4 linked regions of the Drosophila melanogaster genome follow. The gene in region 1 interacts genetically with each later gene. Each region holds a gene or a part of one and is shown on either strand. Other genes may lie near its edges.

What was found.
Region 2: of SH3PX1 (region 1) and Ets21C, changing one suppresses a phenotype caused by changing the other (phenotypic suppression), as found in Drosophila melanogaster (one study listed by BioGRID).
Region 3: of SH3PX1 (region 1) and stg, changing one suppresses a phenotype caused by changing the other (phenotypic suppression), as found in Drosophila melanogaster (one study listed by BioGRID).
Region 4: of SH3PX1 (region 1) and Rab4, changing one enhances a phenotype caused by changing the other (phenotypic enhancement), as found in Drosophila melanogaster (one study listed by BioGRID).

Annotation. Positions count from the first base shown.
Region 1 is NT_037436.4:9,709,890-9,715,675, forward strand, and holds SH3PX1 (SH3 and PX domain containing 1), read right to left. Parts: upstream 3,939-5,786; 5' UTR 3,797-3,938; coding exon 3,044-3,796; intron 2,264-3,043; coding exon 1,611-2,263; intron 1,131-1,610; coding exon 839-1,130; 3' UTR 533-838; downstream 1-532. Other genes in the region: vsg (visgun), read left to right, coding at 4,662-4,734.
Region 2 is NT_033779.5:549,427-554,259, forward strand, and holds the start of Ets21C (Ets at 21C), read right to left. Parts: upstream 3,029-4,833; 5' UTR 2,432-3,028; coding exon 1,732-2,431; intron 77-1,731; exon of another isoform or gene 1-76. Other genes in the region: rempA (reduced mechanoreceptor potential A), read right to left, coding at 4,511-4,833.
Region 3 is NT_033777.3:29,251,609-29,257,451, forward strand, and holds stg (string), read right to left. Parts: upstream 4,193-5,843; 5' UTR 3,321-4,192; coding exon 3,265-3,320; intron 2,354-3,264; coding exon 970-2,353; 3' UTR 535-969; downstream 1-534. Other genes in the region: CG45544 (uncharacterized protein), read left to right, coding at 5,056-5,289. UniProt on the Drosophila melanogaster protein: This protein functions as a dosage-dependent inducer in mitotic control. It is a tyrosine protein phosphatase required for progression of the cell cycle. It may directly dephosphorylate Cdk1 and activate the Cdk1 activity.
Region 4 is NT_033778.4:17,571,598-17,575,491, reverse strand, and holds Rab4 (Rab4), read right to left. Parts: upstream 2,031-3,894; 5' UTR 1,794-2,030; coding exon 1,778-1,793; intron 1,709-1,777; coding exon 1,628-1,708; intron 1,558-1,627; coding exon 1,225-1,557; intron 1,162-1,224; coding exon 950-1,161; 3' UTR 513-949; downstream 1-512. Other genes in the region: Dcr-2 (Dicer-2), read left to right, coding at 1-97; CG42239 (uncharacterized protein), read right to left, coding at 2,291-2,389, 2,459-2,569; UQCR-6.4 (Ubiquinol-cytochrome c reductase 6.4 kDa subunit), read left to right, coding at 2,788-2,840, 2,969-3,089; POSH (plenty of SH3s), read right to left, coding at 3,490-3,664, 3,726-3,894.

The sequences.
Region 1 (5,786 bases):
GCGTTTTTATCTAGATGTATTACACTTAGTGATCCCCCCACAACCCGATTCCCATCCCTGGAAACCCACATCCGACTATCCTCCAAAAATGCCAGGACAATCCTTGGACCCTTCACCTTCACCTATGACCTCGCCAAAAATCAAACGAAAACAAAGCGCAGCGCTAAAAGGCAAACAACCGATTTTGTATCCATTCCGAAATGTGTTTCTTTTTGTTTTTACTAGTTATTACGCTGATTATTTATGAAATCATCATCCCTAACATGTGCAATCTAACACTTATGTTCTAGATACAAAAAAAAAAAACAAAAAAACCAAACAAACACAAGAATCACAAAACTTATTAACGCGAAAATGGCAAAGCAAAAGCATGAACATGAAAATGGAAAAATAAAGAGAACCCTTTTAGAGAATTTCGCTGATAAAGGCAACAGAATAGCAAATCGCCACCGAGACTTTTAATTCAGCGGGTTTGGTTGGATCATCCAAATATGATGATTATGATGCAGATGATGCACTTGCACAAGTGGTTCTGTATAAATATAGTTATATTTGCATCTCAAGTTCAGTGTATAATAGGCATATAAAAGTTAATTTCTGTATAAATACGCAACTTTTCACTTACAAACAACATTATGTAATATTTTTTCTGTTTAACATTTAGTTAGAACCACGCTTAAAGTAAGAGTTCCTTTCGAAGGCATTTGAAATGCGCGCGTGCGAATGTTTTCAGCTATGTATCTCTGTGTGGAAGTGTGTGCCCGGTGCGGTTTCTTTGTGCTCCCAGCCGTCGATCTCTTCAGCGATGAGTCGTCGTCGCCATGGGCCAAGGGCCAATCTACTCAATCTGACGGCTGGCCTCCTGCAGGCGCGCCACCACGCCCTGGTAAAACTTAATCTGTTCGGCAATGAAATTCTTAAGCGTATGCTTCAAATGCGTATCCCGCTCGCTCTTGAAGTGGGTCAGCTCGGCCAGCACCGTGTAGGAGACGACATCTGTGCGCCGGTTAACGTCGTGCAACTGGGGATTATTCATCCTGCCCTCGCCGGCCAATTTCTCGCAGTCCTTTCGCTTCTGTATGGCACCCTTGTGCGTGGAGAAGATGTCCGGAAAGCAGTTGAGAACGCCCCTATTTGGAAAAGTGAAAGTAAGAATTAGATAATGCTTCTAGATCGTTCTATAAACAAATAGCGACGGAAAGTTACCACATTCTCTAGAAGTTATATATATATTATACATATGTATATCTATGTATATATTTCTTGTTAAACTAAAGGTCAGTCAGCGTAAGAACCACAATAATCTAAAATAAACTATTGGCCAACAATCGATTTTTCTCGCGAAACTATACATTGATTCATTGCTTAAAAGTAAACAATTTGAGTTCTTTATAAATAAACTTGATACCTTAAAAACAATTTACAAGAAAGTAATCTATCGAAAATTTTTAATTGTGAGTAATTCAGCCATATATGTATGTGCCTATTGTAACTTCTAGTATAGAAATGACACATGTCGTGGAATTCCCATTTTCAGTCAGCTAATCAATTACTGATGAATGAAACGAAATGTGCTATGCTTCCCATCACTTATAGAGACGTCAACCCACCTGTAGATGTGAAGTCGATCCGAGAGGGGAATCCAATCATGCTTTGGCTGGTCGCCAAAGGCCTGTCCAATACCGATAAAGATGCCACCGATGCGGCCGACGCTCTCGGAGAGCGGAACCGCGTTTCGGGTGGGCGCACGCCGCTCATCGATGGCCAATGCCTTGGCCAGGTCGGAGAGTCCGTCGCCAATGCGCTGGAACTCCTTTTTACTCTGCGACATGGAGCGCTTGGCCATGTCGTTGGATATATTGTTCAGGTTGCGTACTGCCACGTCCATGCTGTGTATGAACTGGGTGCCCAGCTCCACCTGTGCGTCCACCTTAGAGTGCAGCAGGTTCTTGTCCGGCGGCGAGATGGCCAGGCAGTAGTTGACGCCCATGTAGGGATCCCGTTCCGCCTTGCGTTTGCCCGACTTCCAGATCTTCTCGTCGCGGCAAGTGAGGAAATGGTACCAGACCTCGCATTTGGAGATCACCGGATGGCGGCACACCCAGTCGACGAACTCCTGCAGCTGCACACGTCGATGCTCCACGAATTGCTCCTCATAGCGGCCGGAGATCTGCTTGTCCGGCAGCGGTGGCACCGGAATCAGGCAAAACTTGTCCACCAAACGTTCGTGCAGCCAGTCGAAGTGCTTGTAGCGACGTGACACCTAACGAAAGGGAAACCCAGATTAGATATGACCAATTAATTGTGATTGGGTCACGCAAAGAGGAGCCCGGAGCTCGGGGGGTCAGAGCTCGTTGCTGAGTCATTCCCCGTGGCGGTTCGCAAGCACAAGCAATCATCGCAGTGCCGCTGGCTACCAGTTGGTCAGAATTGCCCCCACAAAGAAGAATTTTAAGTGCTTTTACGACTCTGTAATGCTCTACCTATTTGTATGTGTATTTTAATGGACTGAAAGAACTTTACAAAGAGCTTTGATTTCAGTTCGAAAGTAATGTCGAGCATTTATGCTTCTCATTATTGTAATGAATAAAGTTGATCGAAATTATCAAAATACTATTTAAGTAGCTAATAAGAAATGAACTATAGCTTTGAATAGTATTAAAACTTTAACAAATAAAAAGATAAATTTAGCCAATTTTCAGAGTCTTAATAAAACAAACCAATTAAAGAAATGGATATGATCTCCATTTAAATTTTCTCAGCAAAAAAGGGTCACTTTTAAGGTCAACTCAGTTGGAAAATGTTGGCCGGCAATTAGTGCGGAGTTTCGATAAACAAAGGATTGGTCTTTCTTTATTCCATTCCATCTGCTCGTGAGCACATGAACCAGCCCAAATTACCCTTGGCAGAGGGTAGCGAACACAGCACAGACACATATTATCAACAAAATATTGCACCCGTAGTTACACACTCATGCGCCAACGGTCGGAGCTTTATCGTATTGTGTTGTTAATCACGGCGATATCAGGGTTGGCCAACTTACGGATATGTTGTTGAAGCTAGGCGTCAGTTGGTAGGCAATGAACGTCTTCATCCCCTTGAATTTGGACTCCTTTTTGGGACTGGCCACCACAACGGAGTAGGGCGAATGGTTCTGCGTCCACTGGTAGATCGAGTCCTCCACCTGTGTAATGTAGGCCATCTCGCATTCGGGTATCTTCTCCTTGGTGCTGGACAAGCCGAGTATATATGAATCGGAACTTTTGGCGAACATGCCCTTTTTGACGGTGCCAGCAGCACCAGTCCCACCAGCCACGGAGGCCAGTGATTGGGTATCATCGTTGGGCGCGATGGGCAGGTGTTTGTTATCGTAGTCACTGGTGGAATGCGACAATCCGCCAGCGCGAGCCGACTGTCCCGCAGACTTCTGGCCACCTGGACCAATTTCCGAGTACGTGTCATTGTCGTCGCTCCAATCGTCCTCATCATCCCAGTTGCTGCCATCATCATCCGCCGTCTGATCGTAACGCGGCAAAGGGGGCGAGGCGAAGGGATCCGGAACCTGTGGCACCGACGTCGCTCCACTGGCGCTCAGCTTCTGGGCTTCGGCCGCCGACATCACCTCCACGTACGCAGCCGGGAAGAGGCCAATCTGGCCACGGGCATTCTTGCCCTCCCACCAGCCTTCACCCACATCGCTCCGGGTCACCGAGAGCACGTCGCCAGTCGCGATGGAGAGCTCCGAGGAGCCCGGCTCCCCGGTAAAGTCGTACATGGCACGCACGTACGAGGTCATCTTGGTGCTCTCCTGGTCGTTCCTTTACGCTAATTCGAGTCCTGTCTTCACAGGGGCCATAAACAGACAAGAAATATCTACTAATTCTGAATCACCAAGTGTGAAGTGTTACCGTTTCTTGGATTACGGAATTAAACTGACACTGACGTCTTCTTCGCTCTGCAGCAACAAGATATAATGATGATACAGCAATTTTATTAGGGGTATTCCCCCAACACACCTGAATTCTACACTTGGAACAGAGGCACTCTCTAATTTGATAAATAATTATAAAAACTTCATATTTATACTGTACTACTACTATATACTCACTAAAATAAAATAATATAAATGGTACATTTAAGTCGATCAAATTAAATTAATGAGTTATTGCGTTATCAAGAAAGATTTAGCTGTGAAAAATTACTTATGTTTATATAGATTTAACCTACAAATATTTCAAATAAATTGCTAGGTGGGTATACAATTTTATAGTAATAAATCAAGTAAAATATAAGGACAAATTTATGATCATAATTTTATATTGCACCAAATGCGAGGCGTTTCAACTACATTACGGTCTCCCCCTACTGATAAGCGCCGAGTGCCAGGGCTGCAGAGCACGGCTCAGCTGTCGATGTATCGGGATGCATCGAAGTATCGAGTTGGCATAAAAGAATCTGGTCTTCGTGTCGTGTTATTCATTCCTTAATTGCGCCTTGCTTTAATTTGTGGGTGAGCGAAATCGGAGCTCGGCGACATCGCCAGTTGTGCAATACTGACTCCAGCGGTATCTGTTAATCCCCAACCACTTCGCAAACGTATTTTCTTTGCCTTGCAGATTTGCTGACTTTGTCGTTCGAGTACTCAGCGTTTAACGACCACAATGAATCGGCAGGCGAAATTCCTAATCTTGTGCCTCTTTGTGGGCCTCTTCTCCGCGAATTTGTGCGAAGAAGGTGAGTCTTTGATCAAATTACACCGAATTAAAATCGAATTGAAGACACGCCGAACACTCATTTCTCAATTATGCACTCGGACACACACACACACACGCTTGCATGTGCATGCGTACGTGTGCGCAAACCCCTCGCGTGTGTGCGCCGTGCGGGCATGTGGGTGTGTGTGTGCATGAATGTGCGTGTGTGTGGATGTGGGGGTTTTTTAAATGCCAATTCCTATATTGAATATCAATTCTCCGGCCATTTTCTCTTACTCCGACTTTGGGGGAATGTTCTCCGCATAAGAACTGCAAATCTACAGCTTTCCAAAAGAAACTTGGAATTTACGAAAGTCCGTAAATTGTCACATTACCATACGTTAATATTTGTGGACATTTGGTAAATATGTATTTACCGAGCTGTAACCATATTTTGTTCGCAAGCATTTATTTAAATCGTCACGTCCTAATTACCATACGAAAATATTTGTACATATTTTAGGATTTAAAGAGATTTTGACCATATTTTGTTGACAAACAATTTAATGTTTACTTTTTCAGCTTTCTTAAATTTCCATTCCTTAAATTCCATTATTGCATACAAATAAATATCACCTAAATGCTGCCTATTTTGAATATAGTAATCTTTATTTTCCGAACCAAATCAATTTGTTTTGTTACGTTTTTCTATTTTGTTTGACAATTTTGACATCATTTACATGTGCAATGGAACTATTTTTATTTTCAATTCTTACAAAACATGTGTATTCGTTGTGCTTTTTGAAATATTGGAAATCGATCAATAAGAGTCGTTGTGAACTTATCATGCTTACCAATTTATTTGCTTTTAACTTTGGAGTGACGCATAAGTTTTTATCTATAATATTCGTTGCTGATTACTGCACACAAGCCCTGTTTTTTTGAAGCTATGATAGGCGCTGTTCTTACTTAAAATTATTTTTTTACGATGTATTCATTCTGAAATAAGAAATATGAACGTATCAAAAAGGGTTGATTAAAAAAAACCACACATTGGGTTCATTACTATAATATTTACTACACTTGAGTCTA
Region 2 (4,833 bases), on another chromosome or scaffold:
ATGCTGCGTTGGATTGACCTTTGACCCGATTGGATTGTTCTATGACCATCAATGAAGGTCTATGCCGGGAGCGCGTCAACCGTTTAGGACGAGAGCCATTCGCCGACTGAAACTTTAGCCAGAAGCGCTGGCCGGATTTCGCTCCTTAGCACCGGACGGATGCCTGGCATCTGGCATCTTGGATGGGAGCATGGGCATCCGCGAAGCAGTCGAAGCTCCGGGCACGATTACGGCTCACCTGCGCAGCTGGTGGTAAATGCCGCTTCGGCATTTGCCAGGGAAGTCGCAAAGTCAGAGGCCACGTGCAGCCACTCAACCAGCACCCACCCCTTCGCACACGATAAGCAACTTGTTCTTTTGCAGCGTTTCGACTAATGCATACCCAGTTGCGAGTGGCTGGATATATTATAAGGTGGCAGGGGCGCGTCCGATGGATGATGGAACCAGAAAAGTATTCTGTTTGCGTGGGGAAATATATCCGAGTTTTTGGGAAATCATATGACTAATGGTTTCATTGGTATGTTCCTCAAGGTACGTACTATTGGTGGCTGTGGCATTGTGAACAGGGAATGGCTTTGATCCAGTTTGTACCCTGTAAAGGGGGCGGTGACTCAGACATGGGAGCCACAACCGTAGCCCACAACAAATGTAATCTGCGTGACGGCGACGACGCGTAATCCTGGTTGGCATAAAAAACAAATCAATTAAATCGACGTCGCCTGCTCCCGGGATCAAGGCATGTATGTGTAGTCCATGGAACACCCATCCACCAGCATATGCCAGACCCGAATCAGGGGGCTTTGCCCGCCCTGCACTTGCTCTTCCTGCCACAGGAAGGATGCGACGAATGAATATTTTCCTGTGCCCAAAAGCTGACCACCCGCAGAGCTGTTGTCACGGACAAACCACCCAACCCATCTCAGCTATCCAAGCCATCCAAACCACCCGACCTTCAGCCCACTTTTTCCGCCAAGCTGAAACTTGACTCGGCGACTTTTGTCGCTGGCGTGGGATTATTTTGATTTTATTATTAGATGCCACATCCTGCGAGAAATTATCATATTTACATCGTTTATTATTAAGTTCATCACTTGACGCGACCACCCACAAGGCCCTGACACGCCCCCCCCCCATCCCCCCCCAACGCCCATCGCCTTTGCGTTGGCAGTCATCGCCAGTTAATAACTGGAAAAGTGTTGCATACTTTGCTGCTGTCGCGCAGAGATTTTCCCAACGACTTACGTTAATGGAGTCTCGGAGAAAGTTGGCCAACTCGAGCGAAAGGTAATTAAAAGGGGATTTCCCGCACCTTCGGCCACTTTTCCTCCTTATCAAGACATCCGGAGAAGTGTGGGAGAAACAATCAATGGAGCACATAAGTTACAGCCGTATCAGCACGAAGGCATCTTAATCAGTGGCCATTTGGCCGGCGACGGAGGCAAAAGGATTCAATTGATGCCTGACCACAAAGGATTCGAGAGTCGGACAATCGCTCCGCTGGGAATAGCACGTGAACCCAATTACCAAGCAGTTCAATCTCTGGACTCTGCAGATTTATGTGGCCCGAGATTAGCTTGGGACAGTGAGAAAAATGTGGCTCCGTTTAAGTAGTTTTACTCGATTCTGGAAGGGTTGGCACTTCAGAAATAGGAATTCAAAGACTAAGCCATAAGAGGACATAGGCTAGGATTTGAAATCCCTCTTCAAATAAGCTCTATCTTAGGCACTCACTTGGTTCGTCGTCGTTGAGCATCGGACTCGTCTCCCGTCCGGTGGCGTGGTATAAGCTGATCGCGAAGTGCTGCGCCAGGAGCATGCCTCCGCGCCTTGATCCTGCACAGACCCAGAAGTCCGCGCGAGACAGATCGCACAGCTCCTGGGCATCCTTGGGAAACCTGTCGATATCCGGCTCCGGGTCCAGTTTGAACTTGCGCGTCGCCCATCTCACCCAGCTGGCAATGTCCTCGGGCGTCCAAGCGTGCGGATCCACGGGCACCTCCACGGGAGAGACGCTCCGGTTGGAGTCGCTGGAGTTCCTTCGAGGAGATGGCGCCTGGTGAGGCGATGAAACGGCGGGCGGAGTGGGTGTCGCCAGCGGGAGGGGCACTGGCAAGTTGAGGGCGGGTAATTGGCTTCTTATGCTACTGCTGCTGGTGGAGGACCCGGAATCCGAGTCTGTTGAGGAATATGAGGATGCGCTTGAGTCGCTGGTGGAGCTACTGCTGCAACGCCTTCTGCGTCTTCTTCTGTTGGTGGGAACTTCCGTCTCCTTCGCTTCCAGTTTGGTCTCGTTTCCGGATCCGATGCTTTTTTGCCGGACATCCTGATGCATGGCATTAATCGGCCTCTGTTGGCACCAAGCACTGCGAATCGTCTGGCTGATGATTGGGAGTTGCTTGTGGCTCTGGCGGCTATTCTGTAGAATGGCCATTAAGCTGGGATGTTCCTGCTCCCACTTCGAAAGTGCAATATCAGCTATTAGCTAAAGACTTTTGGTAGCTTTACCGTTTCACTTTTCTTTGACATTATTCGGTTGGCATATAAATTCATCTAATCTATATTTGCTTATTGTTTGATTTTCACTAAGATTTCATTATACCAGCTTGATTTTTGGTAAGTGCACTTAATTACACTTTATTGTTTATGTTTTTGGCGCCCTTTTGCACTACTAGAATATTCACTTCACTTTGGCCCTGTTTAATCATAATATTCTAGGAATCACACTTTCGCATTATTGCGTTTATTGGTAGCCTGCAACCGGTTGAAACGGATTTAGGATGTGTGTTCGTCTGGCTGGATGATTCACCCGAGATAGTCAGGGTATTTCACCTGCTGACCGGACAAGTGGAGTCAGCGGCAGGCTTTCCACGTGCCGCAAATCGCGGAAATCTTTCGCGGAAAGTTTGCGATTGGAAACGTTTAATAACCGTTATTGCATCGACCGATTACAGATCCGCCGATCGGGTTAAGAGTAGCGCCGTATTCCACTCCAGATCGCCGATCTTCGATCGCTCTGGCCCTGATCCGACCCACTTGGCGAGTGACGAACTAATGATCAGCGCCGGCGAACAGTGATAAAGCCATGACGAAGTCGGCTCCCATGAGCTTTCCACTTGGCGCTCTCTCGCCGACTCGGCTGCCCCATGACCAACCGGCTGACTTCGAGGGGCACTGGCTGCTCGGGACCAGTTTGCCGGCGGCGTTTGCCACTCGGCTCGCGAGCTTTCGCTCTCCGCAGTGCCCACTTATCGCTCGCTCGCAAAGCAAATAACAACCTTAAGCATGACGTCGTGAAACTGGCCTAGTCCGTATGAGTCACCCGTCCATTGAGCACAGCGATCGTCGATCGGCGGGAAGCCGACGGAGTTCCCCAGCCTTGTGTGTGGGCCACAGGGGGTGGCTCGGGTGGAAGGTCGTTTGGGGGCCAACGAAAATTCATTCATTCATCGATTCCCCTCCTATTTGGATTTGTTGTCTTGTTGCCTTTGCCGCGTCATTCTTCTGGGAAATCGGGCATGAGTCGTTAGTTGTCTGTGGTCCATGCCATGCCTACTTGGAATATCAGTTTATCTCTGTTCCGATATTTGGCAAAAGGTCGCTCCCAGAATGATATAAGATATATATAGATAGAAGATATAAATATAAATAATAAATAGTTATGTCATAATCGAGTGATACATGGTTTTCTCTACAAGCCTCCTATCCGCAGTTCATCCTTGTGCGCATTTTACTTCGTGACAAGTTCCAGTTAAGGGTCAGTATTTATAAAACTAAACCATTCCATATCCATATATGGTAATTATATTTGGGATCTAAATATCCAATTGCTTGACGTCGGTGACGTTTTCGATTTAGTTTATATCAGTTCGCCAACTGATTGCTCTTTCGATTGTTCCGAGTTTCGCTGGCTTCCTGGAAATGCCTCTGATTTCATACATAGCTGAGGACGCGGACGCTTTTGGGCAAGTGATTCACGGATGGCCGCTCTCTTTTGCTTTCCGACTGGCGCCGGCAGATCCGCCGATCCGAATCCGTATCGCTGTTTATATTTGCTTTGATGTGACGTCGGTCACTTGAACTCACATCCAAGTCATATACCTACATACATATACATATGTATGTTTCAGCACCGAAAGCTTTTACTAGGCTTGCGTACATCGTGAAGTTCATTCATAAAATTCCAAATGGCCCAAGCAAGGGATTTGTATACAATATAAGCAGAAATTTAAGCAGTCTTGTGAAATACAAATACAAGTTATACAAATACGTAACTTGTTCGTTTTGATTGAGAACTTTAAGATGCTTTCCACGATTTCTGTCATTGTATATACTTTCGTTTATGATCATTAATACTTAATATCTTAGCATAACTTAGTATCTGCTGGTTGAAACATTCCATTGTAGCCATTGCTTATCCAATTTAAAGGGAACTCTTTTGCCTATTTACTTGTTATCCGCTCTGCGGAACTGGGACGTGACTAGGTGCTGCATCGCCTATTAATTGAATCATCTAATGCAGCTCCTCGGTGATCTCCTCGTCATCGGCGTCGTCATCATCAGTAGTCGTCATCCCAGAAGTGCTGCTCATTCCAGTGGCGGCCGTACCGCTTGTGGAGGCGGTCACCTGGCGTCCCGCATTCCAGATGAGATCGAACTCCAAGTGGCACTCCTGCGCAATTTTGTGAACGATGCTGCGATCCAAGAGTCCCGAGGCACTCCACGTGCTGTCCTTCACGGTCAGCTCCTTCAAAGCTCTGCCCGCCTCAGAATAGTCCTTGACGTAGACCAGGGCTCGGATTAGCATGGCCAAGATATGGGCGTGGCGTATGGGCG
Region 3 (5,843 bases), on another chromosome or scaffold:
AATTTTCGTATAACAGTCTGCCAAAAAGTCGCCGCTGTTATACTCAATTTTTTACGGACACAGCGCCCTCTGACATTTACAAAGTGCAACTACTCGCTTTGCGCGCCAATTTCAAGTTGTTAATTCTGTGAAAACCCATAGAGTACCGAAATCCCGCACATAATGCGCATTTGGCGCCATTTGAATGATAAAAATTCCAGGAATTTCAGTTCTTTTTCGTCGTGTATTAATGTATATTTAAAATTGATGGTCTTTGTTCAATAATATTGCCTTTTTTGATGCAAAAATAAGCTTTGCTTAAATAATAATCATTACATGGTAAAATATTTGTTTTCTTGTTTGCATTTGCGTTTCGGTGCCTTGTTGTTCGGTTACGGATTACATAAAAATAAACAAATAATAAGCGTAAATTGTACCTAGCAGAAGTTTACAACTTTCAACTCTTAAACGATAGATCTTATAAATAAAGTTTTATGGATGAAATTAATGAGCGTGTTTGTTTTTGTGTGATATTTGTTTTCTTTTTTTTTTTTTGTTTTTAGCCATTTTTTGTTCTGCTTATCATCTACAAATGATTAAGGGGTCTGATTTCGGGATCGGCCTCTTAAATTTAAATGACATGGTTCCTCACGTTTTTAGATTATAATGCACATTTTTCGTTTGCTTGTTCGTTGGTTATCTTTAAAATTTGAACTAGAGTGCTTAAATAATTGAACTAAAGCCGAAACCATAAAAACAATAATAACTAAACAAAAGCGTTAAATTCCAAATGAAATTGTCTGTTTTGCATGAATGCGAGTGTCGGGTGTGTGTCTGCGTCGTGTGCGAGAAACTTAGTCTACGGATTAACAAATGAAAATCAACAAAAATCAACTTAAAAGCAGCATGAAATAAATACCCCTATACGTCTATATATACAATACGATAACACCCAAACTTAGATAACGAACTGCACGATCATCCCACAACCTACAGCATCAGTCGCGAGCGCGACTTCTTTAGCCGCCCGGTGGCACCGCCCAGGCCATCGCCGTTCCAGGACTTGGACTTGGCGCGAAAGTGGCGATAGGCCTCGTTGTAGGCGGGATCCAGCATGGTGCGGTAGGCATGTGGTTCGCACAGCTCAACGTGCGACTCGAAGAACTCCTTGTAGCCGTTGTGCAGCAGATAGATCTCGGGATAGTGCAACGCCGGATAGGCGTTGGTATTCCTCTCGCGATCCAGATTACGCAGGAAGCGGGACATTTTCGGTCCACGCTCCGAGGAGAATTCGCAGTGGAAGATAATGATGTTGCGCTTGTGTCCCGATTCGGCGTTCTGCTGCTGCTGCAGCTCAGTCTGTTGGACGGTGAGGAACTCATCGAGGATCTGCTCGGTGGTGTACAGGTTCTTGGCTCCCTCGATGTGGCCGCCCTCGAATTCGTAGGGGTAGCGGCAGTCGATGATGCGGTAGCTGGCCACCTTATCGCTGAACTCGCCCTTAAGCAGGCGAGCCACTGTTTCGCTGGAGATGCTCTTCAGATCCCGATGACGACCCTCCATCAGGGGCAGGGCATAGGCTTTGCTGAAGTCGCCGATTAGCTCGGGCTCGTTGCGGTTCTCGGAGCGGGCCAGGGCGGACATGATCTCGGCGTCGTTCAGGGACATGCACTTCCTCAGTGGAGGGGGGTGGCTAATCGTGACCTGGCTGAGTGGGCTGGGTGCGGGGCAGTTCTCCTTCTCAACGGCGGCGCAGCGATGGCGTTTGCTCTGGATGGGCGAGCAGTTGGCCGATGCTGGCGGTTCCGGGCGCTTGAAGCAATCCCGGGCAGTCTCTGGGGTCTTTGGTGGTGGGGTGGTGGTGCTGTTGGTGTTGCTCTCCGTCATGCTGAGGCACCTTCTGACCGAAGGGCGGCGCATGGACAGACCCGCTGGCGATTTGGCAGCAGGCTGCTCCTTGATCTGGCCGCTGATCAGCGAGTTTAGGCCACTGGGGAAGCCCAGGGCGGTCTGTTGGCTCTGCGACTCCATCTCGAAGAGCTCCATGTACTCATCGTCCATGGAGGACTCCATGGAGCATGTGGAGGACAGGCTGTTGAAGATGCGGAAGCTGCGCGCCGGCGTGTGATCACTTGATACTCCCATAGCTGGCAGAATTTTCGGCTGGCGGACGATCTGGAAGCGCTGGGGCGAGCCCTCCGGCGAGAGCAGACCCATCAGCTCCGGACTGGCCGATCGCTGCTGATCCTGGGGCACAACGTCGTCGTCGTAGAACGACAGCTCCTCCTGGTCCATGCTCATCAGTTCCAGGGAACGGCGAGCACGACGAGATCCACTCATTTTGTTGATGCTACTCGAACTGCTGGTGTTATTACTGCAAGAGCAAACAAAGAGAGGGGGAGGATTAGTCAACTGTTCGGCATCGAGGAAGAGAGCTGCTTTTGCTTCCCTAAACTCTCGCAAGAGCGGGTCATTAAACCCAGCTAAAAATACTGACAAACTGGTGGTGGTGGTGGCGTTGGTGGTGTAAAAACAACAAAAATACCCGAGAAAATACAGAGAGGGGTTGTTGTAATTGGGTGAAGAGGGAGCTGAACTAGAAATTTACTTTAATGCAGCTTCGAAAACTGGAATTTTTGGGATTCGACTTGCGCACACGATATCATTGATACCATTTTTTTTTTTTTTGATAATTTTTACAATTCCCTAAAATTGCGAGGGAACCGTTGCGTACCGCCTTATCTTCTTCTTCTTGATTCTACTTAAGCATTAGCGGTTCTCCAAATGGAATTCCCTTTTGCTTTTCGCATGCATCTGCTTTTCAGCTTGACTTTTGCTTTTGGGTCACACGTCACGCAAGCGCAGCGATAATACAACAAAAACACGCCACAAAGAACCGCAAAGAACACGGAGGAAAAAAGGAACAAAAATCGAAAAAAAAAAAATGACTGACTGACGGACGACGGACAAAAAGCATTTTTTGCTGCTGCTTTTTTTTGGAGCCTCGCGGAAGCCGGTTTAATGAATGAAAAACGGCAAGCGAGCAACAAAACAACAGCTGAGCGCCAAAATAAAAATCGGGCAAAAAGCAAACGTGCCGAGCGTGATAAAAAGAACTCTTACTTTTGTTGGCCCCATCGTTTACATTTCTGTTTTTTGTATTTTTTTTTTGCTTTGCTGTTGTTGCTGTTGCTCTTGAACTTGCACTTTTTATCGCGTATTTTCAACTGGTATTCCTGGTGCAAAAGGGGTTTGCTGTTGCTAATCCTTGGGCGGCATAATTACCTGATATTGCAATCCATGCTGCAGTTGTTTTCCTCCACAATAGTTTCCCACAGCATTTTGTTGGTTTTGTTGTGTTATGTGTTGCGTTGGTTGCTTCGAAGAGCCGAAGATGTTTGATTTCGCTGGCGAGTCTGAAGCCGAAGAAATTGCTAAAACACAATTTGTTCTTGGTCACTCTGCACTCATTTACAGTTTGTTTTTAGAATTTGAGATGGTAGTCCTTGGTTTTTGGCTAGTATTGCATTTTAGTTAATTTAGGTTTTTTTGTTTTTTTTTTTTGTTAATGTGTCCGTTTGAGCATGATTTTTTGTTTTGTATTTCGGAGTGTGGTTGTGCGAGGTTTTTCTTTTTCTTCAATAATTTGAACCGCACAATCTCAATTCACCGAACGAGGAACCGAAAGGCTGAACAAGAAGAGCTGTTGACTCGACGACGAACTGAGAACGAATGTGCTGAATATGCCGAGCAGCTGGTTTTTATAACCGCACCCCGGCCGATCACGATCAGCTGATGAGCTAATGGGCGCGAGCGAGATGGCGCGCGTTTTTTGTTCTCTCTGCTTCGCTCTTTAGCTCTTAGTTCTCAGCTCCTTTCCTTTGCCTTCCCATCCTATCCTTTCCTTCCTATCCTTCCCAGAAGTGCCAATAGAAGAGGAAGGGAGACGGGCAACGAGCGACACCAACACACATAACGGGGACGGGGCCAGAGCCATGTGCGATGCGAAAAGGAAAACTGGGAAAATGGGAGAATCAGGATCATATGGACTCAGTTTTGGAAATCTCTGCTCATGTGGAGCACAAGAGTGCCGGCAACAGGTAGAATCCTTTCCCCTGCACTTCCCCTATCGCAAAATCCCGCACCGAATACCAATGTCCCGAGAAACGAGGAGAATCTGGCGCCTTGGTGGTCGCCAGCTCTATGGAGGCCACTGATTTTGGCGCGCGAGCTTTTATACCGCGACGCGTACCGCCGAAGGGGATCCGAAGTCGCCACAATTGGAGCCGAAGTGGAGCCGAGGAGGCTCCGAACCGAACACATGTGAAAATAGTGTGGAGCCCCAAGAAGCGAAGAGGAAACGCTGAAGAACTGCGCGAATCTTTAAGCAGAATTTCAAGGCGGCATCGATTGTGTCGTTTGCAGGTAATAATGTGAGATCCACGCATTCCTGCTGCCCCCTGTCCCCCCTTGTAACCCCTCCCTGAAAACTACATATCAGCAGGTAGTGGCCGCAGTCATATGATCGCCGCACCGGCGGGATGGGCGGTCGTGGAGGGGGCGTGGCTCCTTTGTGTTCTGCAGACGTAGACGCCAATGTCGTTAAATGAGCAAAGCTTCCAGCCACAGAGATCCATTCACAGGTAGCACTCTACACGATGGACCGTGTGTCTTTAATGAGAATCCGTACAAACACAGATCTTAAGCTAGATAAACTACTACTAACAGTAGCAAACACGTGGAAAATCATGATGTCAACCATGCGATATGACCAATAATCGATAATGTGAAGCTCAGACTAGTTGCCCACGCCGAAGCTCCACTGTAGCCCCTCGTTTGTGTGCAATCGCGGCAAAGTTAAAGCAAAAATCGAGTTACATATGCGCCGATGCCCTGCGGGAGTCATTCTGGAGGATCCGAGGGGTTCACTAAGGAGGGTTGGGGGTTTGCGAACACCCATGGGCTGTGCTGTGCAGTTCGAGTGTGTTTTTGTAAGGTTCGCGGCAAACAAATGAAGGACAGGCCAGTGCAACCAGGCCATATCATTCACACCGCTTGAAGAGCAGGCGAAAGTAAATGATTTCGGGACCAACCACAGCCGAAGCCACCAACCAAATGAGCTACGGTTTCATTCCGCTGAATTCCTTTGGCCAGCTTTTGTTGTTGCTGCAGGAAGAGCCGAGAGGATCATCTTTATGGAAAACAACCAGCACAAAACGACGAGAAGGACGCAGAAATCATAAAGTGGTTTTGAACAAGTTAAAAAAGCGCATAGGGAAGGAAAAAGCTCAGAACCAATCTCATTCATAGCGATCCGAGCGCACAGTGTGGCAAAATACATATACTAGAGGTAAATCTGTGAACTTACTACTACTATTTAAAAGTAGTTTCTAGCTCGAGTTGTTCTGCTATTTTCATTTTTACTTACCAAATTCTTATCCAGTTTTTATGCTTTTATTCATTCCAATTATAGCCTCGCAATTATGGATTTCAGATAATACCACCGTGATATCGCCGGGCTCCAGAAAAAGGGCAAAGCGGAGGAAGCGGAATCAAAAGCGTATGCAAAAGCACACTCACACACGTGTGTGTGCGTGTGTGAGTGGGTAAATTTGATAAAGAATGAGAATAGGCTGCGGAGAAAGAAATTGCAGCAACAATGTGAATGGAAATGGGAATGGGGCACAACAATAGCGGGGGACCTCAAAAACAGCATAACGAACAAAAAAAATCACAGGACCAGCAAAAAGTGAAGAGCTAAATTGTAAATCGAAATTCCAAGAAGTGAGCTTTGAGCATCGGCTCTTATTTTATTTTTTTCTCGGTCGTCTGTGCATTAAAATGCCTGCAAAGTGTGCGAAAAA
Region 4 (3,894 bases), on another chromosome or scaffold:
GACGATCAAGGTGTACGGATTTGGGAGCAATAAGGACCAGGCCAAGCTATCGGCTGCCAAGCACGCCCTTCAGCAGCTAAGCAAATGCGACGCCTAATATGATGATTCCAGCCCAGTCTAGTTTCTGCTAAACTGCATTGAATTTGCTTTCTAGCCAAGACGTAATCCTTTGGAAGAGGACAGCAAAGGGCACCTAATGAACTTAACTGTATATCTTAGAATTAAAAAATACTTTTCCATCGCTTTAATAGACATAAATGTCTAAAACCAAAAAATCATTTTTGATCACCATAAATTGTTAAGACCTTTTAAATCAAAACAAAAACAGCCCATTTGGAAACACAATCTAAAGATGCTATGCCAATTTCCTCAAATACAAACGGTTTTTAATTATTTTTTTATCAATTATTGCCATTTAAAATGTTTTAGCTTCATTGTTATTAATAAAATTTAATAGCTTCCCCAATACAATATTTGTTACCTTGGGTCGAAATAAATATTTTTATACAATTGAATTTATCAATGGGCGTTTTTATTTACCGCGTGCATGCTTCAATGGGATTTACAATCGGCGACGTCGTCAACGGCGTATCGCTACTTATTTACATTAAAAATGCCGAGTGTATTCTGTTCATCCTCTAGATCAGATCCATGTGCTTATAGCCATACATCATTTGTTGCTCGAGGGCTCTAGTGCTTCACGAATTACAAATTATAGTAAGTAACATTTGGGGTTAACCCGAAATCATAGGTTTTCAAAGTGGTAATTGGTTATGTTAAAAAACAAATCGATTAGCATTATGCTTACAATTGGAATGATTAATCTAGCAAGACAAAATACATACTAAAAAAGTGGACACACACAAGTACACAATACAACTAAGGGGTAATCCGAATGCGCATTCCGGTTTGAGATTAAATGGAAATAAATCAGCACAACTTATGCGACTTAAACGCGACAGGTGCAATCCGGCTTATTGATGCTGCGCTGTCGTGTCTGTAAGTTACGGAGAGCAGCTCCGCCGTACTGAATACCGCTGCCGATGCGCTCGGGATCCAGCTCTCCGGTCTCAATTTTGGCCAGTATGGTCTTTGAGCACTTGAGAAAGGCCTCTTCAACATTCTCCCCCGTCTTGGCGCTCGTCTCCAGGAAGATAAGCTCTGCAACGACAAACAGACGTAGAATTACGATAGGAAATTTATGGAGAATCCTAAAAAACAGACCGTTCTCTTGGGCAAAGGTGCTTGCTTCCAGAAAGGTCACATCACGCGCCTCCTCCAAGTCCTTTTTATTGCCCACCAAAAGGATCACAATATTTGGGCTGGCCAGAGTGCGAGCATCATTCAGCCAGTTTGTCAAAGCATTGAAAGAGTCCCGCGAAGTGGCATCGTAGACCAGGAGAGCTCCGGCTGCTCCGCGATAGTACGATCTTGTCACCGATCGGAATCTCTCCTGACCGGCTGTGTCCCATATCTGTAGCTTTACCGACTTGCCGCCCACGTTCACAATCCGCGAGCCGAACTCCACTCCGATGGTGTGCGAACTGTCGTCTTTGACTTTGATGGTACATCAAAATGTATAAAATGCATTAGGCGTGTACCATTTTCAGGCTACCACCAAACTTACACTTGCTCTCGATGAAGTGATGCAACAGACAACTCTTACCGCTGCCAGCACTGCCAATTATCAGGAACTTGAACAGGTAATCTAGGTGAGCGCCGAGCACCGATATTAATTAGTAAAATGCATTAATTAATTAAATGTGTGCTGACAAACCGTATGTTTCCGACATTGTTTTTGTTCGTCTTCTGCGTAGTTGTCTTCTTTGTTTGTTTTGGTTTTTCGGCCAGACTTCAGGACTATCGGATTGCTGGTGCGTATGGGCACCAGGAAGTGCGCAGGACACGATCAAAACCCGCAATATCCGTCGATAAGTAAGCGTTTAAACAATTAGAAAGCCAAAAATTACCTTAAAATCTTTGACTGGACTCACTTCAGTGAGAAGGTTCGCTACAAACGCGAAAATACCAACAAGGGGTGGGTGTGACCAGGTGGTTCAAAATATGATTCATATTGCAATTAAGTTTTTGTTTACTTTTAAAATATTTCCAAATATATGAAAATTGCCGAAAGCTACAAAGAAAAAACAAAATATGAAATGCAGCCCACAAAGGTTTATTGTCTTTTTTCAAAAACCCTCTTCTATTCATCACACAATTTGCATACATACATATATGCAATAAAAGTATAAAAGATGGTGGGCCCTGGTAATCCAACCCGGCACATAGTCTACGTATCCTTTTGCTTCTCTGGTTCGTAGTCTTGATAGCAATTAATGGGATCCTTGGCCGTATAAACTGAGTATGCCAATTTGCTGCCCTTGAAGTTCTGTAAACTCAGGGCAGAAAGGGAAAATTACTTAAAATTAACCATTCTGATAAGCACTATCTGCCGTACCTTCATATCGCCAGATATCAGAGTCCAAAGGAAAACGAACACCGCCGGTATCACAGTGGACAGGACAAACAGCTCGAATGTGTTAAGCTCCCCAAAAACGGATATTTTCATTTTAATTTCGTAATTTTTGATGAGTTCTTTGCGAATATTAGTTTTTGTTGATGACTAGTTGTTGTTCTCACGTAGGCCGCACAGTGTTGTCACACCTTGCTTTTAAAGTTTTACGCTATCCTACGGTCACACTGTAGTGGTATTATTTAGGACATTTGAAACTATTGCGTTCATTGCGAACATTTTGGTGCGTGTGAAAAGTTATTAAATCAACAAAAATGGCTTTCCGCATACCTTTTGGCAAGAAGCACGCTGAGATAGCGAGTTCCTTGTAAGTATATGCTGTCGTGCTTGATTCTGCATCATGAATTCATTAGTGTTCCCGCTCTTTTACTGCTACCAAAGCACACATTGCATAACCCCATCCAGAGAACTAAACTAGTTTCTTTTAATTCGTAGCATCCGATCTGGAGCCGGATTCGGAGGAGCTGCTGGCCTGGCCGTGCTTTACTACACCGACTGGAAGCTGGTCCTACAGTACGTGCCCATCTACGGATCCAAGTTCGAAAAAAGCGAGTAACCTTGCCTGCCGTAGTTGAATCCACAGTTAGCCTCGATGTTTTGCTTGGTGAATAAAATAAGTTAAAACGACCAAAGGGTATTACTGAGTATCGTATATTACAAATAACTTTGTAGAGGGCACAAGGATCGGTTAGATTATTTCTCTAGCTAACTAATCGCTAAGGCTTAAGTAACTGTTCCCTAAGTCTTACATGGCTAGCCTATTTTGATCAAGCATTGTATAAAAAAGTACAACGGCGAGCTGCCCATTCGATTGGAAGAGTACAAAACGGTTTCTTTTTTGAAAAGAGAAATATGAGATTGCGTATTTGGAAGCCCGAATAGACCGACGATTGAATCCTTTTAGACAAGTAATTTGGAATTTCGCTTAATAAATTCTAGTTTGAACCATAACTTTCCTAACAATCCGGTTCAACAAAGGAGGCGGGGAACAGCCCGGTTTTGTGGGTACGGGCATGGGTGCCCTTATACCAGCCGTTCTTCTGCTTCCGCTGGACGTAGATAATGTCGCCCAAATGTAGCTCTAGTTCAATGTCACTGTTTGGTGGATACGGCACAATGCAGCGGAATCGACTACGATAAAAGGTTGCATTAGTAAATCTCTAAGCTCACAATAATGTATTGCAAAACCCACCTTTCCCTCGTGCAGTAAGGAGACTTAGTGGTGGCGCTGGCCTTAATGGCCGCCTCCGTGATCATATTGCTGCTGGGACTCAGCACATGACTCGCATCTAGGCTGTGCGACTTCCGATGGCTGGGTGCAATAATCATATTGGCATGCAACTGGGATTGCGCTCCACCTC